Astyanax mexicanus: one gene and its partners. The protein of the gene in region 1 purifies or fractionates together with the protein of each later gene. This does not show direct contact. Links are inferred from orthologs where the notes say so. Each region holds a gene or a part of one and is shown in the gene's direction. Other genes may lie near its edges.

Region 1 (7,748 bases):
GTAGCTGACAGGGAAGATTACTTGGTTCAGACGTTTCAGCTGTTTAATGTTGTGGGGGGTAACGTCCCCCAGCTCGATCCGGCTACTGGAACAAGAGCAGAACGGTCAACTGGTTGTTCATTACTTATTAGAATACATTTCGCTACACACTTTAAATAAGCAGTATGCCACTGTGCACAACCGCAAGACTTCATTTCAAGTTATTCTGAGCCCTCTCACAGACTCAGGCTTATTTCAATGGAATCAAACTAACCCAATTAGCTGTCTACGAGGATTTGACCCCACTGTCCCAGCACACTGTCACGACTATCAGTCGTAGTGTTCACCACAAGTTTGCGTCGCCTGCACTTGACACCAGAACTACAGAGGTATTTATAGGGCGACTGCATGCTAATGCACCATGACGACATAACAGCTGCATGTCATGTTTTTAGGCCTGCACTCCCACAGCCAGTGGTAGGAAAAGGTAAGAGAGGACAGCAAAAAGTTCACAATTTTTTTTAAGCATGTTGTATGCAAACAGCTTAACTTCTCAATTTGGTGTTTTTGTGTCAAAAAAACTAAATACACATGCATATACTGTACACACATACTTCCTCTCTTCTGGCAGCAGCATGGACTGTTTTTTAAATGAAGCACAACCAGTTAAATCACAGGTTATATGCATATAAGTCTTAAAGGCAGAATAACAAAACAGTGTTTATTTCTTAAGAGGCAAGCTATAAAAAGTATCCATTGTTTTGGCAAACCAACTTGCAAAAAACATTATAATGCATACTATGTATTTTGTATGTATTTTTTGCAATATCGCCCAGACTTATTTGCATGTCACCTCTTACAGTGCCAAAAGTGCCATTGTATTTTGCATGTATTTAAATCCTCCTCTTTTAGTCTTATAGACTAAGACATTAATATAAAATATGTAATTTTAACACTACACAAAAATGTGACACTAATTTTAACACAAAAAAAAGGAATTAGCTTAACTCAACTCGGGTTCTGTTTATACTTGTACTGTCATTCCCTCTTTAATCACACCCCCCTCACTATTGCACTATTGTCTTGTGTCTTTTGTCTCACGTATGTCTATCTGTGTCCTTGTTGTATTGTACATATAGTGTCTCCCATTCTTTAATATTTATAATCTTATTTTCTGTACTTTCTTGTAATCTTTTTGGGAAGGAGAGTAATGTAATTTCCTGTACACACGCAGTATTGACAATAAAACTACTTGACTTGAACTCAACTTGTATACATACATAATATTTCACTAGCTCAGCACAAAGTGACTAAAGGGACACTGACTGACAGAAAGAGCATCAGCACCAGATAGACATGGATTGAGCAGTGAAAGGGACATTCTGTGGGAACTGAGGTGACGTTAAATGCTGAATAAATAAAAAAAAAATACTGAGGTATCAGGCTTAAGAGTTCACAGGTGACACTAATCAGTAGGTAAACTAACTACATCACTAGACTGGACTCTGGTTCTGGAAGTAACGTAGCTAGCTTAGCTAGCTATGATAGCTAAACAACGTTTACCTGTGTATTTAACTTTGTCGACTGATTGTTGACTTAAAAAATCACTCCCGTCACTGTCTGTCATGTACTAGTGAACTGAATAACTAATATAACCTACAGCAATGCTCGTTAGCTTAGTTAGCTAGTTAACTAACTTGCTGCAAGCAGGTGGGGAATTTAGCTAGCCAACATATCTAGCTAAGCTAAGCTACGTTACCTAGCTACCACCTTTATTCACAAACTGTTTAGAACACAAATGGTTTATCTCAATGCTTGCTAGTTAACTAAACGTTCGGTTAGTGAAATATAAATACACATAATACTTATAAAGTTGGCTAGCTGAAGTAGTTGGTTACTTTGTCAGCTAAGAATGGGCAGACACATTTATTAGCTACTGTGGAGCAGGCATGGTTAGCTAGCGAATTAGCTAGCTATCTAGCTTAGCTTAGCTTAGCATGATAGCCAGCGATATAGCTTTTCATAGTCTGACTCAACATTTTCAGACTTCAGCTCAGGCTAAGCTAATAGACATCACACGGGGTTTTGCGGCGGTTTGGTGTATCTGCTGGGACCGTGGTTCGTGTAACAGCGGGTGGACTTTATTTGTACAGAGCACGTTTCAGTCTGTAAGGTTTTCTCAGTAAAATATTCAGGGTCCTCGGTGGTGAACGCTCCCCTCTCACCCCGCGCCGAGAGGCGGCTAGCGCGGCCAGCAGCTCCCCCTCCCCCTGCTGAAAGAAGAGAGGAGGAGGAGGGAAAAAACTTTTAGTCTCCATGAACAAACGCAGAGTTTTTACTCACCCTTTCATGTTGGAGAGAACACGTATAAGGTGAACGCTGCGAAGGACGTCGACAGTATATTTCCGATCCGGAGAAGATTAGTCCTAAGTTTGTGCAGAGCTACCCTCTCTCCGGACCCTCCACATGTATGTTGGCTAAAGGACTAGCAGCGCTCAACTCCGCCGCTGCTGTCACTCGTGAACGAGTCGCTTCTTCTGAGTCGGTTCTTTTGAGAAGATCAGTCGAATCGGTTCAAAAGTACCCCGCTGAATCTCGTGTTTGGCAGCTATTCGAGTTTTCTGCAACTGATGACTATTTTCGTTATTAACTGCTGTCCATACACTACACGACTGAAAAGACTCTGAAAAGACTTTTTAACAGAATGAAGTCTGACATCCTCTCACATTAATTGTTTAAAGATAAGTTTTCTGATTTGTCAGTCATTATTTCTGTTTCTATCTTTCTCTATGGCTTCAAATAGCTGAATGAGGGAAGACATTTAAAAATGGGAAATGTTCTGATATTCACTGAGAAAATAAACTAGTGTCATTCAGTTTAAAATGTGAAACTCATATTATATAGATGTAAAACACACAGTGTGCTCTATTTTACATCCAATAAAAACCCAAACATCATTGTCTCAGAAAATTAGAATATTATATTAGACCAAATGGTACTTTTGGCAGTGTAAAATCCACATCTCCATAAAAGTTGTCAGCAGGGCATGAAAACACTGCACCGACTTCAACACCAGCAGATGACATGACTCTCCAAACCATCACTGATTGTGGAAACGTTACACAAGACCTCAAGCAGCTTGACTGTGTGTCTCTCCACTCTTCCTCCAGACTCTAGTTCCTTGATTTCCAAATGAAATGCAAAATTTACTGAGGGTCAGTGATGGTTTGGAGGGACATGTCATCTGCTGGTGTTGGTCCACTGTGTTATATCAAGTCCAAAGTCAAAGGTAGTGTTTTCCCAGAAAATCTTACAGCACTTCATGCTTCCCTTTGCTGACAACATTTATGGAGATGCGGATTTCATTTTCTAGTAGGACTTGGCACACTGCCCACACTGCCAAAAGTACCAATTGGTCTTATATAATATTGTATTTTTCTGAGACAGTGATTTTTGGGTTTTCATTGGCTGTAAGCCATAATTATTGACAATAAAAAAATAAATGCATAAAATAGATCATTCTGTGTGTATTACATCTATATACGAATTTCACATTTTGAACTAAATTACTGAAATGGAGTAACTTTTCAATTACATTTAATTTTTTAGAGATGCACTATTATACTCGGTTGTGTCTGTCAATATCTTTTATTTCATGTCATAAGGAGTTTATTAAAAAATAGCCTGACACCGTTCTTTTTACTGAGCTGTTTTATGTTTTCTTCTGTTAAACGTACAAAAACATACATATCTTAACACACGTGACAAAACTTACTTTAAATAGTTTAGTTATCAAGAGAGACCAGATCTAACAGTAATAAAAGTTGGTATAACTTGGTTTCTGCTGTGTGGAGGACATTAGAATAAAGTTGGCATGACTCATAAATCAATGAATCGCTGACTCGGACGTTTGATGCATTGAAACAAAACGTTCAGCTCAAAGAACCGGTTCGATTCACTGAATCGAACTTCACATCCTGCACAAGCGGCGGGGAGACATAAAGCACAGGACGTGGCGTACATTATGGAAGCTTTCAGTATACAAAATAAAAGTCCCTGACAGGTAAGGTGAAATCAGAGCCATCTCTATGGCTCAGTGACACCTCTGGGTGAAATGCGGGTCGGATAGAAAAGTTAGTTCTTTTTTTTATATATTTAAAATAAGTTACTTAAAATACCTTAGCATAGGTTTCCGAAGAAAATACTTATAATAACGCTATCTAACAAATTCGATATTTAGCAACAATTAATTTAAGTGTGCAATGTTGTAAGTTACCTGATACCTATTTTACAAAATGTAAACGTTATTGAACTTAATCTTTTAAAATTAGTATAAACATTACAGTAAATTTGTATAGTTTTACATGCTTCTTTATTACTGCAAAAAATAAAAAATAAAATCCAGCTCAAGATCATCCAGAAAAAACATACCCTATGCTGGTAAAGAGCTAGTTAATTTTAAGAAAAATGAAACGGTTAATCTTCTTTTGATCTTTCAGATTTGTCATTTCTTGTATCTTGTAACACAAACCTGATAGTAAAGAAATTCCGATTGTGAGGGGCAAAGGTGAAAAAAATCTAAAAAGGGAAAAATGGATGAAGGCTTATTTCTGCACAACATTAAAAAAAGACAAATAATGAGTTTTACATACAATTATCCATTTTTGCATTTAGCCTCAAACACGTCGTTATACTGACCGTATAGCAGTAGGTGGCGCAGTGAAGCTCCATCTCTGAGCACCGCGCACTACAACCATCGAGTGAATGAAGTCAGCTGACCCTTCCTGGTTGCTGATTTCTCATCATTATTTTCAGCTGAACGGACTCGACAGATCGCTGCTTCTCCTCATCATTTCAGGTATTTAGTGATTGTAGTTTGATGTCAGGGTTATTTTATTCCTCGCTGTGTTTTGATTCGGTCGGTTTAAGGCGGCCTCGGCTGCAGGTAGCCAGCCTGCTACGTTCAGTGCTTTTTCTCGGTCGTATTCCATTGACGTTAACTGCGGTCAAAATGCTTTAAATGAACTATGGTAGCTTTTGCGGGAATTGGCTTAATTTCTCTATTTACAGATTTAACACGGAATGGTAGTTGGTTAAAATGGCTGAAATTTGTGTGTGACTGAAATTAGCTGCTTAATCGCCTGGTTCTTGTTGGAAATTTCCGTTCCACCTTAAATAGGGCATTAGATAAGTACACGATCCTGAAGCATGTTGATGGAACCAATGCAGTATTTAAGGTGGAACGGCGGTGGTCGAATATGAAACTGGCGATTTTTTTGCACCTCCCCCATTATAACCTTGGGAAACTACAAGCTCGCCCCAGGATTGTATACATACACGATGCAGTCTCTGATTAATATTAATTAATTTATCATTTTTATTATACACATATGTAGTAGGTAATGCGCTTAACGTTACACTACGTTTAAGTCATCTCGTTAAATGTAAAGCAGGAGGAAATTCCATCACACCAGTTTTACATGTTATTAATTATTGTAACATATTTAAAATTGACATGTTTAAAAAGTATCTATATTGCGCTGTATTGATGTCATTTATTTGTAAGATAGAATCGCAGTAAATGTTATCAGTAGCCTGTCATGGTCATGTGACTGGACAGTGCTGAGACTTGCAGTCACTGTGCTTGGGCCCAAATACTAGACTGCAGCATTCTGCCAGCTATAGCACTGCTCAAATATGCTGTTTCTTTATGTTTTGACTGGCAAAGCTTATAACGAGGTAACCAATACACACACGATCAGGTTTCTGTCTGGAGATCATGTTGCTTTACCAGGAGAGAATCCGTCCATACCCTACATCATGTGTTGGTTGATCACATGGTAGGATGGTGGGTGGTAATGCCAGAAATATTAAGATACTTTAAGAAATGCATGATGATATTTAACTTTCTGTGTTTTTTTTTTCTGAACAAGTACCACAAAGCAGTAACAGCACATTAAAAAAAGCTGAAAACAAGCCATTGGTTAAAAATATATTGAATTAAATGAGTGTCATAATTGGATGTCAAATCAGCAGTTTTTGCAGTTGTTACCATTTGTTTGTTGTTCTTTAAAGGCTTGATCTTAATCTGTCTTTTTACGATTAATTTATTCATTTAGACGTACATATCACACTCCAAATATAGCTTAGCAAAATCTGTCATGGTCTAATTTATCATGTTGCACTTAACATATATCACCCATTCTTAATGACAAATTAGCCTGATTTTTGTTGGCTTGATTAAATTTAAAAGCGCATATATTGAAAAAAATGAGACATCTTACATTAGAATTTGTTGCATGAGAGGGTCTTTTAGTTTTTTTGTAACGATTTGCACATGTAGTTTTAGTGGTTGTTTTTTCATATATTGTATTTTATATGAAACATTAGAAAACTACTGAGAACTAAAACTGCTTGGTTTGGTTGTTTCCCTACAGCTATTAATGCTAATCTTGGGGATGAGTGCAAACTCTCCAGAATTACTCAACTGTCTGTTTAGCCCCTTCCTCTTTACAGCCAGTCACGGTAATCATCATGTGACATTTCTGTATCACTGCCCCAGAAATATCACACAATCTGGTGCATATATAACTGTTCATATAAACTAAGAGGATTTTTGTATTAATAAACTTTACTTAAATATTGAACAAGCCTTAAGGTGTGTGTGCATGAATAAATGAATAAATATATAAAATAAACTCTCATTATCAAGTTTAATTACTATATTCAATAGTTTGTGCTTTTTAGTACAAATTATGCTCTGACATCTTTGATTATTGATCATTAATAATTAGGTAGGTCTACTTCTGTGATGAAAGAATTTAGTGTAAAGTTAGACTTTCTGTAACTGTCCATCCAGCTTTAAAAGTCACAAGTTAACCCACAATAGGAGAAATCAAACAAATGGAGAACAGAAACCCTCTAATGCTTCACAGGAATATTTTTGTTTCTTTTTGCATAAAGCTTGAGGACATTCTCAGTTTAAAAGCTGACAATTAAAAGCTTTAATTTTTGCTTATGCTATAATCTGATGTAATCTAATACCTCTATAATTGTCAGTAATCTGTTGTATTTCACTAATGGTGCCCACCTTCACATTCTGTCTGCATTTTAGACACACACTTCTAAGATGGACTTCTCCAAGCTGCCCAAGATTCGAGATGAGGAGCGGGAGGGACAGTTTGGATATGTGCACGGAGTGTCCGGACCTGGTCAGTAATCTGTCTATAGTGTGGAATGACAGTAATGTTTTTTTCTTTTTTTTTTCCAATTTACTCAATGCTTTATTTGTCAGTCAGATTGATTAAGTGTGCGCTGCTGTCGCAAAAATATGGATTGATGTGTCCTGTATGTGTTATGCAAAAATGTAATAGCAATATTTTTGGCCCTTTTAGTTTAATTTTTAGCCGGGCCATATTTAATCACTGTATTTCTGAATAACACATTTTAACATTCTAATCATTTTCAGTACTATTTATCTTACTTTTAGTGTCAGCTAAATGACTAAGTAAGATCTTTTCTTTATTTATTTTGTTACATTTCTGGTAATTAAATTAGAATTATATCTATGTATAACCAGTATGGTTTTAAATTATTGACATAATTGTTCCTGAATTTTGCAGTTTGTGCATTTTAAAGTTGTTGTACTGCTTTGCTCTATAGGTCATAGTACATGATTTGCTACATGTAAGTGACCTGTATCTGTGTGTGTCCCTCACAGTGGTGACGGCCTCCAGCATGGCTGGGGCAGCTATGTACGAGCTGGTGCG
Region 2 (7,396 bases), on another chromosome or scaffold:
CTAAAAAGTGTTTGCCCTTTTCCTGGCAATATTAAGACAAGCATGATCTTTTTGCTCAGCAGTGGTTTTCGTCTAGGAACACTGCCATGCAGACCATTTTTGCCCAGACTCTTTTTTACAGTGGAGTCATGAACGCTTACCTTAAGTGAGGCAAATAATGCCTGCAGTTCTTTGGATGTTGTTGTGGGGTCCTTTGTTACCTCTTAGACGAGTCATCAGTCAAAGGGAAGGTCACAGTGTTACAGTGCTAAATGATCAACTCACAGCAGATTATTTTATAATATTTTATTCTACCTTTTAAATCAACTCCAACAACCCACAGAATGGGCTCAGCACTGTTAATAAAACACATCACGTCTCAGTTACTTCCGGGCTGACCCATCTAAGAAAACCATTTGCTTGCTTCCCCCTGCTACCCACCAGCACTTGCAATAATACTTTACTCAGAACATGAACATAAATTAGCAGAAGCAATATTAAACAGCAAAACCGAGAAATTAGTTCATGATATTACTTTTAAAAAGCAGTAATTTAATAAAGGTTTGTTAAATACAGACATTAGCTACTTTCACTTCTGGAAGAGCTGGAACAAACAAAGAATAAACAGCCTGATCTTCAGGGCTGTATAGATCATCAAACCCACAGAGAAAATTACACATATCTATAATAATAAAAGATCAGTGCCATCATCCTCAGAAAAAAGCAGAAGTGCCTCTGGATTATGTGGACAACTGGACATAACCCAAAAGATGTCATATACTTATAAAAGGGGAGCTTAATCAATTCAATTCGTTTTAAAAAGTAGTTCAAATAGGTTTTGCAAAAGTGAGACGCTGTTACAGTCACTGTGAAAATGTCACAGATATGTGCAATATTTCTGTGAAGTGTGAGAACAATTATATAGACCACATTTTCATGCCATTTATTACCACCAGTTGTGGGGGAAAATGCAACTAGAAAATGAATCCCTAACTGTAGACAAAAAAAGCACACTATAAGAATTACAGTATGACTCTTCTTAACTTTACATTGTTATCATGTTATATATGTGTGTTATTTAAACAGATGGCACTTTACAAGCGTGTGTGTAGTCCGTTAACTTGTAACGGCACCTCGCTACTAGACATTAACAGGTTCCCGTTGGTTGTTCTGCCGTTTCACTACAAAGACTTTCTGTCCAGAAATCGTCACTGCATAAATATAGTCCTCGAACATCACTGTGGACAAAAAATACAAAGAGTGTGATATTACAACATTATTATTTGTGTAAAACCAGTCATTAACTATGCATTGAATCAACTAATGATTTGAAACAGGATAACTTTAAGCAGGTTGCTCTGTGGTTTGGGCAGGTTTTGGACAGACCTTATCATTCAATGTTTTTATTATTTTGTTTTTCCCTACGTTGTCATTCAGACTATGAAGGAACACAGAAGGAATCATGTAGTAAACTTAAAAGTGTTAAACAAACCAAAATATTGTGTGAATCGTTTAGATGGGTGCTGTTAACTTGCAATTTCTTGCAGTGCAACAGAGGTAACTTTTGGTCTTCCCTTCCTGGGGTGGTTCTGATGAGAGCCAGTTTCATCATAATTTTTTCGATGGTCTTTGCAACTGCACTTGAGGATACTTTCAAATTTCTTGGAATTTTTCAGATTTAGTTCAAGTATTCAACATAAAGTATTTTTATCTTTACTTAGTTGAGTATTTCTTGCCATAATATGGAAGAACTATATGGCTATTCACTTTAAACATCTGATACTCTCAAACACATTAAGAGGCAAGAAATTCATGTAATTAACTCTTGACACGTTCAGCACAGCTGTTAACTGAAAGCCATTCCAGGTGATTCTACCTCATAAAGCTGACTGACAAAATCCAGCCAAGATGTGCAAAGCAAGAGCAAGAGTGACTCTGAGGAATCTAAAATATAAAACATATTTTGGTTTATTTAACACTTTTTACTAAATAATTCCAAGTTTTTCTTCATAGTTAAATTTAGTATTAATCTACAAGGCAGATAATTTTATCCTGATAAAAAATACACTAAATTTAATGTGTGTCCAAACCTTTGACTTTCAAACCTTTGCATATACAGATGAGGCTCAAAGATGACCAACAAACTTTGCAGCACCAAAGAGCTTCTCTCTCTAACTTTACATCTACACGGTGAAGCAGCTAGGTAGAATTGTTTAATAGAGTGAACATAGAGTGTCATACCAGCGAAACACACACTAACACACCATCACCATCAGTGTGATGCTGAGAATGATAATCTGATCATTGAAGAACAGTGTGAAAGGAGGCCGACACAATATGCAGAGAAACAGATGAAAAACACAAGCCATTAAACTAAGCTGAACTGCTTGAATTTTGAAGTGGTCTTTGAGAATCTGAACCCTGGTATACAGAGATTTATGGTCATTCAAAATCTCTAACCTGACATGCGCTTGAAAGGTGGCTCTGCTGCTCCATGAAGCCTGAAGCGACAAGCTGTTCGGACCATCTGCATGATAACCCCTGCGGTGTGCTCATCGTTCTCCAGCTCTCCTGAAGACTGAGAGGGAAAAAAGCACAGAAAAAGCCTCCTGTGAACTCTCAATTTAATGCTTATGTTCTTCAGCTCTGTTAAATTTGCTACAAGTGAAAAAAAGTCATTTTTTTGTGTACATATAGTAATGAGTAACACTTACTGCAAGTACACCATCCTCACTGATCACCAAATATCCTATCTGATCAGGTATTCTCTCCAGACCCTGAGTCAGTGCTGTGGTCTTCAGTGGAGAGAGGGAGAGGGAGAGGAAGAGAGAGAGACAGAGAGAGAGAGAGAGAGAGAGAGAGAGAGAGAGAGAGAGAGAGAGAGAGAGAGAGAGAAAATAGGACCAGCTTTATAACATTAAAACAACTTCAATCTCCAGAAGACAAACAGTGAATAAAGACACTATGTGTAACTACTGGATGTGATGTGTTGTTTAGGGGCTGTTTCAGGAGCAGCAGAGAAGAGTGAAAGAAAACTACAGAACTACAGTTATTAACAAAACACACACAGCTGACAGCTGACTACACACCCCGGAGAGCTTCTACCAACAGAACACACATCAGAGAGTCTCTATTAAAGAAAAATCTACTATTTAAAAGAGAAAATAAAGCAAATTCACACACCATGGTCGGTCCTCCCCTCAGGTCAGATCAGGAACAGATACAAACGATTATTATTTTCCGTCTTGTGTCTCTCACGTGACGCTGGAGGCTTCTTCTGTAGTGGTGAGTCACATGGTGTGTGAACACATCGCCGCCTACTGACATAAAATCATCTCCTACTACTACTTTGTGAAGTATCTTCAGTTTTTTTGTTCTACGTGCAATCAACTCGAAATAAAATAAAATAAATCAACTAAAATAAAATAATAAACTAAACTAAACTAAAACAATAATAATAATATAATATAATATAATAATAATAATAGTAATAAACTATAGTAAAATAAACTAGTAAAAAAAACAAAACAAGCAAAACCAAATAAGAAAATAAACAAAAATAAGAAAGAAAATAAGAAAGAAAATAATTAACTTAACTAAACTAATATAAAATAAGAAAACAACAATATAGTAAGAAAAAAATAATAATAAATAAAGAAAATAAAAGGAAAAACTAACTAACTAAATAAAAATAAATATAAATAAATGAAAAAAATAAACTAAAATAAACAAAATAAAAATAAATAAACAAGCAAAGCTTAATAAGAAAATAGATAAAAACAAAAAATAAATAAAGAACACTAAAATAAAAAACAAAATATAAAAAAAATAAAATAAAATCTAAATTCTATTTATAAAGCACATTTTACAACAACAAACTCTGACCAAAGTGCTGTCCAGTAATAAATAAGTTAATGAACACATATATATGTATATACATGTATATAAACATATATTTGTAATCATCTATTTATTTGGTGGGTGTCCCTTATTTTCATTTCTGATAGGTGGCGACCCTTACTACGGAAGAACACTTATTATATTTTCATTATGTATGTTCAAGTAATCATACTGTAAGAAATTTAATGAATGGGACGGCAAATGTATGAAAATTGCCTATTTGGTTGTATATAGATCAGAATTTGGTCCTATAAAACAAGAAAATCAAAGAGTTATCATATCAGACCACTAAATTAATAAAGATCCCATTCTCATGTTATAATAGCTAATGTGATATTACTATAGCATTCTGGAATAATGGGACGTTAAACCTAGAAAAAAAATGCCCATTTGGTTTTGCATAAACCAGATTTGGAGTTCTATAAAACCAGCTAATCAAACTGTTATTAAAAGATACCATTACATTCTCAAAGAAGCCTTTCTATTCTACTAATGACATAAGTATCAAGTATTACTGTAGCATTGTGGAGTAATGAGAGCTCAAACTAAGGAAAAAAAAGTGGGTTGGGGCACCACAAAGAATTTTGCCTAGGGAGCCTGGATGGCTAGCCCTGGCCCTGGGTCTGTGCATTCTGGAGTAATGCCCTGAGTAGTATCTGGCAGCAGCAGTGCTGGTGGTGTTGAGTCTGATCTGAGATCAGTCAGCTATTTTAGCTCTGCTGTGGAAGGTAAAGCGGAAGTGCTGGTCAGCTGACTGCAGCATATGATCCAGGGTGAAGACAGCAGCAGGAGTAGGCGGATAGATTTCTGTCTGTTATTTGCTGATATTTCTTCTCACCGCCGCGATCCGCCATGGCTGGACGGGGTAAGCTGATCGCAGTGATCGGGGATGAGGACACCTGCACGGGCTTCCTGCTGGGGGGGATCGGAGAGCTCAACAAGAACCGTAAACCCAATTTCTTGGTGGTGGAGAAGGACACCAGTATCACAGAGATAGAGGAGACCTTCAAGTAAGACCTTATTTTCCTCCTCCTGAGCTTCACCAGCGCCGCGCTCTGTTTCAGTCTTATCTCACCGTCCTCAGTCTGAAATGTTTATAGAGGAACTGATTTAAGCGTCGATCGTTTCCCCACTTTAGCCGTATTAGCTATGCCAACTAGCATGCTAAGCTAGCTTTATAGGCGCAGCTAAGAGCAGTAGCTAAAGGGTGCTAAACCTGCTTTAATTTACTGTTACTTGTGGGTTCGACCCATGTGTCTTTAGTTTAGTGTAACATATAGATATTTAATTAACTATTGAACGGTTAAAGAACAAATAAACTAGCAATATAAAGGCAGCTAGCCTAGCTAAACTAAAATAATCTGGGTTAGCTATTAACCTGTATGTCAGTATCCATATATACAGAGTATAGCAGTATTGTGAAGAGAGGGCTCTATAAATAAACTGGAAGTGCTTATTTAAGCATAACGTTGACATAGGTTGTCGATAAGTTAAAATGTTTTGTCAAAACCATTGTGTGTATATATATATATATATATATATATATATATATATATATATATATATATATATATATATCAATCCCCTGACCTAAACCCAACTGAGATGGGTGCAAATTATCCAATACTAAGTATCTTTTTTTTAAAGAAAGAATGTGTGCCCTTGCATTCAATAACTACTGTGACCCCTCTGAGCAGCTACAACTTCAAACATTTCTGGCAGCCCATTTGGTGTATAATTCTGCACAATAATCTGGGGAAATTTTTGGCTATTCCTCCTTACAAAACAACTTGAACTGAGTGATGTCTTGAACAGACTTCCTCTTTCCTATTCTGCCATGTACAAAGTATTTGCTTAGTGTTTGCCTGATGGAATCATGACATTTCTCAACGTGGTCTTTTCATTTTAATGGAGAGAGCTGCAGCCTGCCACAGTGCACTGTGTTGCACCAAAAGCAGCTTCATTGTATTTCTAAAAGCGTTCTGTAGATGTTAACCACAGCAGTGTAAATAAACATGCTGGACAGTGTAACACAATTAAAGATGATGTCCATTCACCCTATTGGTTCCCTGCATAATGTTATATAAGATATTTGTTGTAGATCAAAATCTGGTTTACAAGTATCATTTATTTTGTTTATTTATTGAAACAGGAGTTTCCTGGCTCGCAGTGACATTGGCATCATCCTCATCAACCAGTTCATTGCAGAGATGATCCGCCATGCCATCGATGCCCATATGCAGTCCATTCCCGCTGTGTTGGAAATCCCGTCAAAAGAGCACCCATACGACGCTTCCAAGGACTCCATCCTGCGCAGGGCCAAGGGCATGTTCTCTGCAGAAGATTTCCGATAAGAAAAAGAACTGAAAGAATTAAGACCTAGACATGGCAGGAGATGGGAGAGGAATAGCGCTAGATGAAGAGCAGCTGATATTTGATGGATTTCTCTCCCATATCTTGCCTGAGTTGGTTTAAATACAGAATACTTCTGTAAGTGTTAATGTGTATGTTATTTAGTGTCTTTGTCTGTTATGTTGGATAAAGTGAAATGGGGTAAGTGTGTACCAGTGATCGAACACCTAACTGGATTGTGTAACTTGTGATTCTGTGATTCCAAATATTTTTTCAGTCACATTTAAATTATAAATGGTATATGTAAATTATAAAATGATATAATCTATAAATCTGTAAGTTTATTTATTTAGACTGAGCTGTCAAACATTCCATTTTACTTACAGCAACTTCCATTTAGGAGTGTATAATCAAATTATGAACAAATATTAATATTTATACAATTATTAATCAAATATTATACATATTATTATATACATATATTAGGTGACCTGATGATAATACATCCTGCTTTGTTTTGTTTTTGTATTTGATTAATCCTTCAATATTACTTCATGTCCATACATATGTGCGTTAACTTATTTGTTAATAACTGCAAGAGAGAGTCTCATGTTCATTAAAGAGCATATGTCAAATCTGGTTTCATTGTGACAGTTTTTTCTTTTCTCACCAGAAATTTGTGCATTATTTTGATTTCTTCCTAGGCCCTAAAATAGATTGGATGGATAACTTTAATACTTTCGGATACATTTCGAAAGGAACTGATGCAATCATTGGAGAAAGGAAAAAAATAGCTTGTTCACGAATAAGAAACAAAATGGTCTGCATTGTGGTGCAAAATATGGTGTAAAAATATTCTAGATCTTTTCAAGACATAACAATGAGATGTAGTTGGATCAGGTTGCTTCTCTTCAGTAAAGCAAAACCCCCGGCAATACCACATAATACATTCATACCAGTGCCACACACAAAATTAACACTACTATTTTAGTGTCATTCCTGTATGGAAATGAACACAACACAACACTTACCTGTCCTATCTATGCATTGTATGTGAGCACCAGTATGGAGACTGACAAAGCTCTTGCTGTGATTGACAGTGATATGCATGTATCTAGAAGTTCATCTCTGTATGCTCTTCTTTCATCACTGATGATATTGCTTC
Region 3 (7,748 bases), on another chromosome or scaffold:
GCGCTGCGCTCTTCATCGTCCAGATCCTGCTTCTTCTTCTTCTCCAGCTCCTCCTGTCTGCGAATGGTCTCCGGGTCCCGGTCGATGTACTGAATATACCAGCCTTTCGGGGTCTCGTCCACTTTACAAAACCCTACATATGCACATGTGTCAGACAATAGATAACGTATTACCTTCAGGGTCTTGTTGATGCTCCTCTGACTCTAGTGAGGAGAAGAATGGTGTCTTTGTAATTCTCACTCTAAGCCGAAATGCTTTGTACATTCTATTTTTTGTACATTCGATAATTATGGTATTTCACCATGTATAGCACCACTGTCAATCTAAACTATAAGTCAGAAAGACAGAAAAAGTAGTCAATTACAAAAAGCAAGTTTGGCGTTAAACATTTACTCTGAAGTTATAAGTTATTCTGTATATTTTTTTCAGCCCCAGCTGCTTTTTTGAACAGGGCACAATTAGAACAGAGGTCATTTACACACACTGACTAGGGATGCACAGTAATGTCGGAGATATATTGTATTGGTCGATTAATGCTTTTTGTAGAATCATCTGCATCAGCCGATATGGCCAATATTTAAAATCAATTCTAGTTAACGTATTTAATGTATGCCCCAAAAAGCAGGACCAACTGGATAACAGTGGCTGTGATAGTTTTAAAAAGCTATTTTTTATTTATTTTTTATTACTTTTATAGGTATACCAAGATGTCTAGTCTCTCTGTAAGTGATACATATGTATAAATGGATGGGACATATCATTTCTTAAGTTGTGCAGGGGTTTAACATTCCTCCATGTAAAGTGTCACATATGTACCCGCAATTGTTTCATTAAATGCATAACTCAAACATGTTTGTATATTTCTGTGCTTACCTTCTCTCCCCAACCATTTGGTGAAATCTGTAAGGGTCTCCCACTGAGTGGAGTTCATGTGAACGTGTTCCCGGTGACTAATGTACTCATTATATACAATGTTGTTGTGGACTCTCTTCGTCCCTGTAAACACACAAAAACACAGACCCTGTTTAACAGACAGGTATTACTGAGAGTAAATAACAGCATACTGATCATTTAACCATCATTTAATACGCTGATCATCACATGAAACCATGCCTCACCAAAACGTCTTCTCAGCAGCTCCAGAAAGTCACTCTTAAACTCCCTGTACAGAAAATTAAAACAGGTTATCAACTTCAGTCACAGATTATTAACGTAAGTAGTGTTGTATTAATGACTGGTGACTAGGGGTGTCACGATCTCGATATTTTATCGAAATCGAATCTAAATGAGGTCACGATCTCGAGTATCGAAGTCAAAAAGAGGATCGACGATCCCTCCTGCGCGCGCTACGCAAATAGCGCAGCGCGCTACGCAAATGGCGCGGCACCAACACAGCGCATCCTATTCATTTAAATAGAGAGCCGCTGCATGAGCGCAGTCGGCGGGAGTGTGATCACTGTTTTTATCTGTCCAACGGGGGAGGGGGGGCGGGGGTTGGGCGCGCAGGTTTTGTATCTGTATCTAACGGAGGGGTGGGTGCGCGCAGGTGAGAGCGTGTGAACTCGCTGAAATGCGTGTGTCAGTGTGACTTGAGAACACTGACTATAGATCACAGTGAGGTGGATTAAAAATCTTAAACTTATAATTGACTACACCTGTTGCTTTCCATTGAATTAAAAAAACATCTTTCTCTCAGATAAAGTAAACACAAGCGTGTTTCTGACTAAAATAAAAGCTTTTCAGGAGAGATATAAGTTATGTGTAAATATTTATAAGACAATACCTGACAAAATCTGTTTTAATGACGTTAATAAACATCACTTATCTAACCAGCCTGTACTGATTTCTGCCCCCCAATAATGCTTTCAATAACCTCTAATAGCCTTTAATAGTCTTCAGTAGCCTTTAAAAGACTTACCTGGCGGCCGTGGTGTGTCCACTAAACTCCGTAGTTATAAACATCCTGAGGTTAGCAGCGCGCTAACTGACCTGTTTATAATGTAATCCGAGCAGTGACTCCGTGTCGACTGTTCTAACCTGCTGCTGTTAGCTGCTTGGGCTGAAAGATGAACTGTAGTGAGCTGTATTATCCGGTTAGTGGGGTTAAAACCTTTATTTGTTTACAGAAACAGTAAAAACGGACTGGCTGAGCTCTGTAGCCCGTGGCTGGGCTGTACTGAAGTAGTGACTGAGTGAAGAGAGCGGGGTGCTGCTGCTGCTAGTGGTTGGATGAAGAACTGCAGCTTCATGTAATGAGCAGTTTCACCAGCCATCCACACACAGCTCTGATAAACTGCTTGTTTTAATAGTGCACACTGTTGCTACCAAAAAAAGTCACTAGATGGCATTACCATATATATCTTAATAAATAATAATAATAATAATAATATTTATAATATTTATAATAATAATAATAATAAATATATTATTTAAATTTTATGAGGCATAAAATAATAACAAGAAAAAAAAAACAAGAAAATCGAGAATCGAATCGAATCGTGACCCTCAAATCGAAAATGAAATCGAATCGAGGATTTAGAGAATCGTGACACCCCTACTGGTGACCTTCAGAAACAGGGGGACTCACTCTGAGAAGTAGCTCATGAACTGGTTGGGATCCTCAGAGGCGAGCAGCAGCTGTCTCTGGTGGGACTCGGACATGCAGTGGCATTTAAATCCATTCTAATTGAGAAAGACAGAGCATCAACATCACTGTTCTAAGCATTGGACGGTATACTATGGCACAATTCTAATTCCTACCCCTTTGTTTGAGTGGAACACTTCCCCTTGGAACAGAGTTTAAATAAGAATCCTCCCACTAAAAATTAAGACAACCCTTCAAGATCCAGATACAGATATACAGTGTTGGAGCTCTACATTTTAATAACCTAGCTGCTGGTTAATTAGCTAATTTTAGAGCATTGTATCTCTTCAAAAAACACTATAAAATACTAAGTACCGTAAGATTATCTTTAAATGCGGTGATGTAATATTTTTGCAGTATCGCTCAGTTCTATCAGTGTGTGATTACCTACACCAAGGGCAATGGCTTTTACATCAATATAGAAAATTATATAATTTTATGATGAAGACATATATCATTACATAAATTTTGGTCTGGGTTGAATTTAATCTCTAGCCCAGCACAGAGCATTCTACTCTAGCTAAAAGGGTCTAAACCCCAAGTATGTAGAGCAGTGGAACTGTGTTCTCTGAAAAGATGGAGCTCCATCCAATACTTTTGAATAAGATTAGTTGGGAAGCTGGGGAAATATTACAGTAATATTTTCTGAATCTAGAAAAAGTCTTTCCTAAATATAAAGACAGTGACTCCAACAAAAGCAGCGTAAATTATGTTTTAATACCCTTTACTTAAAAAAAACTATGAGTAAGTGTGTCACAACAGCTTTGTGTATATTTTACACTAATATGACTCAGTAACGTAAATAACGTTTGTTAGCTAGTTAGCTAGCTTAGAATTTATATATGAGAGTTTGTCAATATCACGATACTCAGACACTCATCACGTATCAAAGTGTATAAACTACAACCAAAGAAAACAGAAAACCGTACAGAAACTAAAATAAAAATAACACTAATATACCTAAGCTAACTAACAGCTACTTAATAAAGGAAAACTGTAGTTAACTCACTTCATCTCGACACTGTTTCTGGCACATCTGACAGTACCAGCGCAGCTTCTGCAGCCCTTTAGCTTTAATTCGGTTCCCTATCGCTTTAGGGCTCAGGAAATCCGCCTTTCCCATGTTCAACCCTGACTACACACCTATAAACAAAGCGTTAATTTACTATTAAACTAAACTAGTTAACAGTTCCAGAGCCCCGTTCCTGCGTTTCTGTTCTGTTCTTCTGCCTCGCCGCTTCGTGTTTGTGTGTGTATGCGCTCTACGTCATCACTTCGTGTGTATCTGTAATAGCTAGAGAACAGAATGAATCACTCCATTGAATCGGTTCCTTTCAATTAGTCAAACCTTTTCAATTTTTTTACCCAAACTGTGAAGCTTTAGTAAAGATTTCTGTTGTTTACGACTAAATTATGGACTGAAGACTTTTAATACGGTGAGTACTCTTAATAAGTATTTTTTCCTTCAGTCTGATGTTTTAATTTAATTTAATAAAATATAACGTAATTTTCTCCATTGCGCATCAAAAACAGCACATAGCTTCATTCGACGAAAAGGGGGATTTTATATAATCCTACACATTAAATGTATATACAGTAAATAAATATTCATTTCAAATCATAATAAAAAACATCATTATAAATGTACAGAAAACGTCACCTAAAAAATCATAATCTAAATTAGGAAACTTAATTAGAAATGTAGTTTTGCAAATGTAATGTACCTGTATGTTTTCAGCAGATATAAGTAGGTTTTAAGCCTGATTTAAAAAAATAAGCTTTAAATAATATTAAATGTGTGTAAAATAACAAATAATCAAATATATATTTTTTTAATGGTTGATATGAATTTCCCCACAGATTGACTTTTTAAAATAATTATTAAATATTCATAAATGTAATCCACAGTAGTATACCATTTTGATTTTTTTTATTAAACGTTTAATATATTATTAAAGTGAGTCGATTCAAACGTGAATCTACCGTTTTTGAATAAGAACCTGAATCACCTGAAGAATCGGTTCAGTAAACTGAGTCGAACGTCAGCCGGATTCGACATTTTGTAGGCGCTGTACGCATGCGCAGTGCGGCCAGTCTGACCTTCATTGGAAGTGAACATGTTCTGCAGGGCCAGCGCGGTGGTGTTCCTCCCACAATGGTAAAGCCTTTAAAACTCTTCATTTTTACATTTTCTGATTAATGACATTGTGTAAAGCAGTATTACTGTGCAGTGAAGGTGTTCAGGGCCCGGTTCTGTCTGTTATTCGGGTCAGAAGCTCGCAAGGACGAGCCGGTCCCGGTAGGCCTCAGTAGCTTAACGTCAACGGCTGGATTAAGCCTGAGAGTGTGAACTTCACCAGTCTGAGTATTATAATCAATATTAACCCTCTGCATTTATCCACTGCCCTATATTACCCAAAATATAATAAAATAATTAACACACGGGTTTACATAGTTAAATAGCTGTGTAAATTGTAGTTGGGTTTAGCAGTTTGACCTGTTTGTATTAGAGCTACACATGCTTGATGACTGCTTCATATCATCTAGTATTAGGGCCTAAATATATAGATAGTTTAAGTGTAAAATGTAAGTGATGCTGGTCCCTATAAGAAAACTGAAGCTGTTTAATATAACTGATTGAATCCTCTCCTTGTTGCAGTGGGCAGGTCAGGAACATGGCTACCTTGAAGGACAGTAAGTAAACTAAAGCATTTATATTTATACATACAGAGATTTTCATTAAACATATAATTATCTATTTTAGTTTGGGATGCAATGATGTGGGAATTCTGTACAGATGCATATATCTGATATACACACTGATATGTCTGATACACACAGACTACACATCAGTATAGCTTTTATGACTTTATATCTAAATACTACAAATTAGTTGTTTGTGCTGCTGTTAAAGTGTTTTAAACTGTACAATTTTAAGTAGAAAAAATAGCTGAGGGATAATTGACTTAAAAGCTCCTTGTGATGAACCTCAGTCAGTTGATGTACTGTATGTATTTGTATGTAAGGACTTTTTTTTAAAGCTGCATATTTATTTACCTAAAAATTACAAAGCATTTATAGAAGATGCAAAATACTTATTTTTATTGCAGTAAAATAACTTATTTACATTCTGAAAATTTGAGGCCTTTAAAATCCAACTGGACACTTGAGCTACCTGTTCATGCTCTACTCCACTAAATAATTCCAGGTCAGTGACAGGAATCAAACCCAAATTATGCATGTCTGAAAATGTAAGGAATGTTTTGGAGGAGATGAACAGTTTCATTTATATTCAGGAAAATATTGATTTTAAAATGAAGTTTAGGAATAAAACAATTTTAAGATTTTATTCGTTATATTTTGACATATTTAAGTAAATATTTTTTAAATATTTTCTATTACAATTACAATTCTGCTTTTCAGTAATGTTCCTTATAAAACATTAAAGCTTTTTTTGTAATGTTAGAATAGAAATCCTCAAGATTTAGAGGTGTAATGTCAGGCAGACAGTTGACAAAAATCTTGGCATATTAGGTGATATAAATATTAACCTTTAGTAACGTGTTTTTTTTGTATTTTGTATTTTGATCAAAAGTTTACTTAGTTAGTTTCAAATAAAATAAAATAGTCCAAATAAAATGAAATGCTGGTTTTACATTTTAATACGATTTGCCATGAGACTTTTATTGTGAAACCCAAACTGGCAGGTTAGCCATAATGCTAACTGATTTCTGAATTGAATTAATAGCTATTGTTTGATAACAGATGGATAGCACTGTGCTGTTTAGATTAGTAGGATCTGTGGTTTAATAAAAAAGTGGATTATGGCTATATTTCACTCCGTTCTTTAGTTATTGACCACAGAATGCTGGAATGCTAGTTTACAGCTAACTTTAGCAGTAAGGACTGGAGCATGTTAGCCTGCATGCTAACTGTTTTCTGAGATTAATGAATGGCTATTTTGTGCTGTCCTTAAGATGTAACTTTGCTGGCTAGTAGCTACATATGGACGGTTCTACTGTTTGATATGACATGTATGATGTCTGTACTGTATTACTCTGGTCTTCAGTTATGAAGTTCAGAACTCCTAGCAGAGCTGTTCTGTTTGCCCCCAGTGAACATCACTGTAGCCATAGTGCCATAGTAGCCACAGTGTTTGGTCCTTTTCCAGCATACAATTCATGCTTTAGCGAGGACCAGGTTGGAAATAATGGGAGGAAAAAAGCATTTATCAGCAATTACTGATATAATTCCGATATCATTGTGCATCTAATGTTATTCAGTTTAATTGTGTTGATTTGCTTGCATGTAACATCTGTTTTATGGCATATTGACTGACTGGGGGTATGACCCGGTGATGCGTTTTTGTTCATTTCTTTTCTGTTTTGATCTTTAGTCACCATTCGGTTGAAGTCCGTCAAGAACATCCAGAAGATCACCAAGTCCATGAAGATGGTGGCCGCCGCCAAGTATGCTAGGGCTGAGAGGGCCTTGAAGCCAGCTCGTGTCTATGGCACTGGTGCTCTCTGTAAGTTTCCTTGAATAGATTTAGCCTGTTAATTGCAAAATATCTCATTGCTATAACATCAGACTATAATCCACCAATGAGACCTGCTGACAAATCACAAATGTGCAGAATGAGTTTCCCAAACTCAAATAATCTTGACAGTATGGTGCTTTATCGCTGCCATGCTGTGATGCCACAACATTGATACAACAAGTTTTGTTCATAAAGAATGATTTAATTGTATTGTCATTATGTTAAAAATATCTCTGGCGGGGGGGGGAAACAGGCCTATTTAGATATATACAGCAGCTCAGCTTTCATTAGCTCATATTGTGATTTCATTCATACTGTGATGTTATTGTGATTTATTGTCACTGTAATATTTGTACTGTGTGTGTTGCAGCGCTGTATGAGAAGGCTGACATAAAGGCTACAGATGATAAGAACAAGCACTTGCTCATTGGCGTGTCGTCTGATCGTGGGCTGTGCGGTGCCATCCACAGCAGCGTGGCTAAAGCCATGAAGAATGAAATCGCCAAGCTCTCCGGTGCTGGCAAAGAGGTGATGGTGGTGAATGTGGGAGACAAGCTGAGGGGT

Evidence for each region.
Region 2: the proteins of atp6v1ab (region 1) and atp6v1f fractionate together in Homo sapiens (co-fractionation; 3 studies listed by BioGRID and IntAct, with this or other methods). This does not show direct contact. The link is inferred for Astyanax mexicanus from reciprocal best matches to the Homo sapiens genes ATP6V1A and ATP6V1F.
Region 3: the proteins of atp6v1ab (region 1) and atp5f1c fractionate together in Homo sapiens (co-fractionation; 3 studies listed by BioGRID). This does not show direct contact. The link is inferred for Astyanax mexicanus from reciprocal best matches to the Homo sapiens genes ATP6V1A and ATP5F1C.

What each region holds. Positions count from the first base shown.
Region 1 is NC_064408.1:95,984,529-95,992,276, reverse strand, and holds the start of atp6v1ab (V-type proton ATPase catalytic subunit A), read left to right. Parts: upstream 1-4,710; 5' UTR 4,711-4,837; intron 4,838-7,093; 5' UTR 7,094-7,108; coding exon 7,109-7,190; intron 7,191-7,699; coding exon 7,700-7,748. Other genes in the region: naa50 (N-alpha-acetyltransferase 50), read right to left, coding at 1-85, 2,323-2,330. UniProt on the Homo sapiens protein: Catalytic subunit of the V1 complex of vacuolar(H+)-ATPase (V-ATPase), a multisubunit enzyme composed of a peripheral complex (V1) that hydrolyzes ATP and a membrane integral complex (V0) that translocates protons.
Region 2 is NC_064409.1:35,732,066-35,739,461, reverse strand, and holds atp6v1f (V-type proton ATPase subunit F), read left to right. Parts: upstream 1-4,624; 5' UTR 4,625-4,731; coding exon 4,732-4,889; intron 4,890-6,031; coding exon 6,032-6,233; 3' UTR 6,234-6,870; downstream 6,871-7,396. Other genes in the region: ragulator complex protein LAMTOR4, read right to left, coding at 1,120-1,217, 2,440-2,557, 2,694-2,774, 3,163-3,165. UniProt on the Homo sapiens protein: Subunit of the V1 complex of vacuolar(H+)-ATPase (V-ATPase), a multisubunit enzyme composed of a peripheral complex (V1) that hydrolyzes ATP and a membrane integral complex (V0) that translocates protons.
Region 3 is NC_064409.1:21,088,463-21,096,210, forward strand, and holds the start of atp5f1c (ATP synthase subunit gamma, mitochondrial), read left to right. Parts: upstream 1-4,691; 5' UTR 4,692-4,761; coding exon 4,762-4,802; intron 4,803-5,303; coding exon 5,304-5,338; intron 5,339-7,040; coding exon 7,041-7,172; intron 7,173-7,554; coding exon 7,555-7,748. Other genes in the region: kin (DNA/RNA-binding protein KIN17), read right to left, coding at 1-133, 874-996, 1,119-1,162, 2,588-2,682, 3,654-3,767.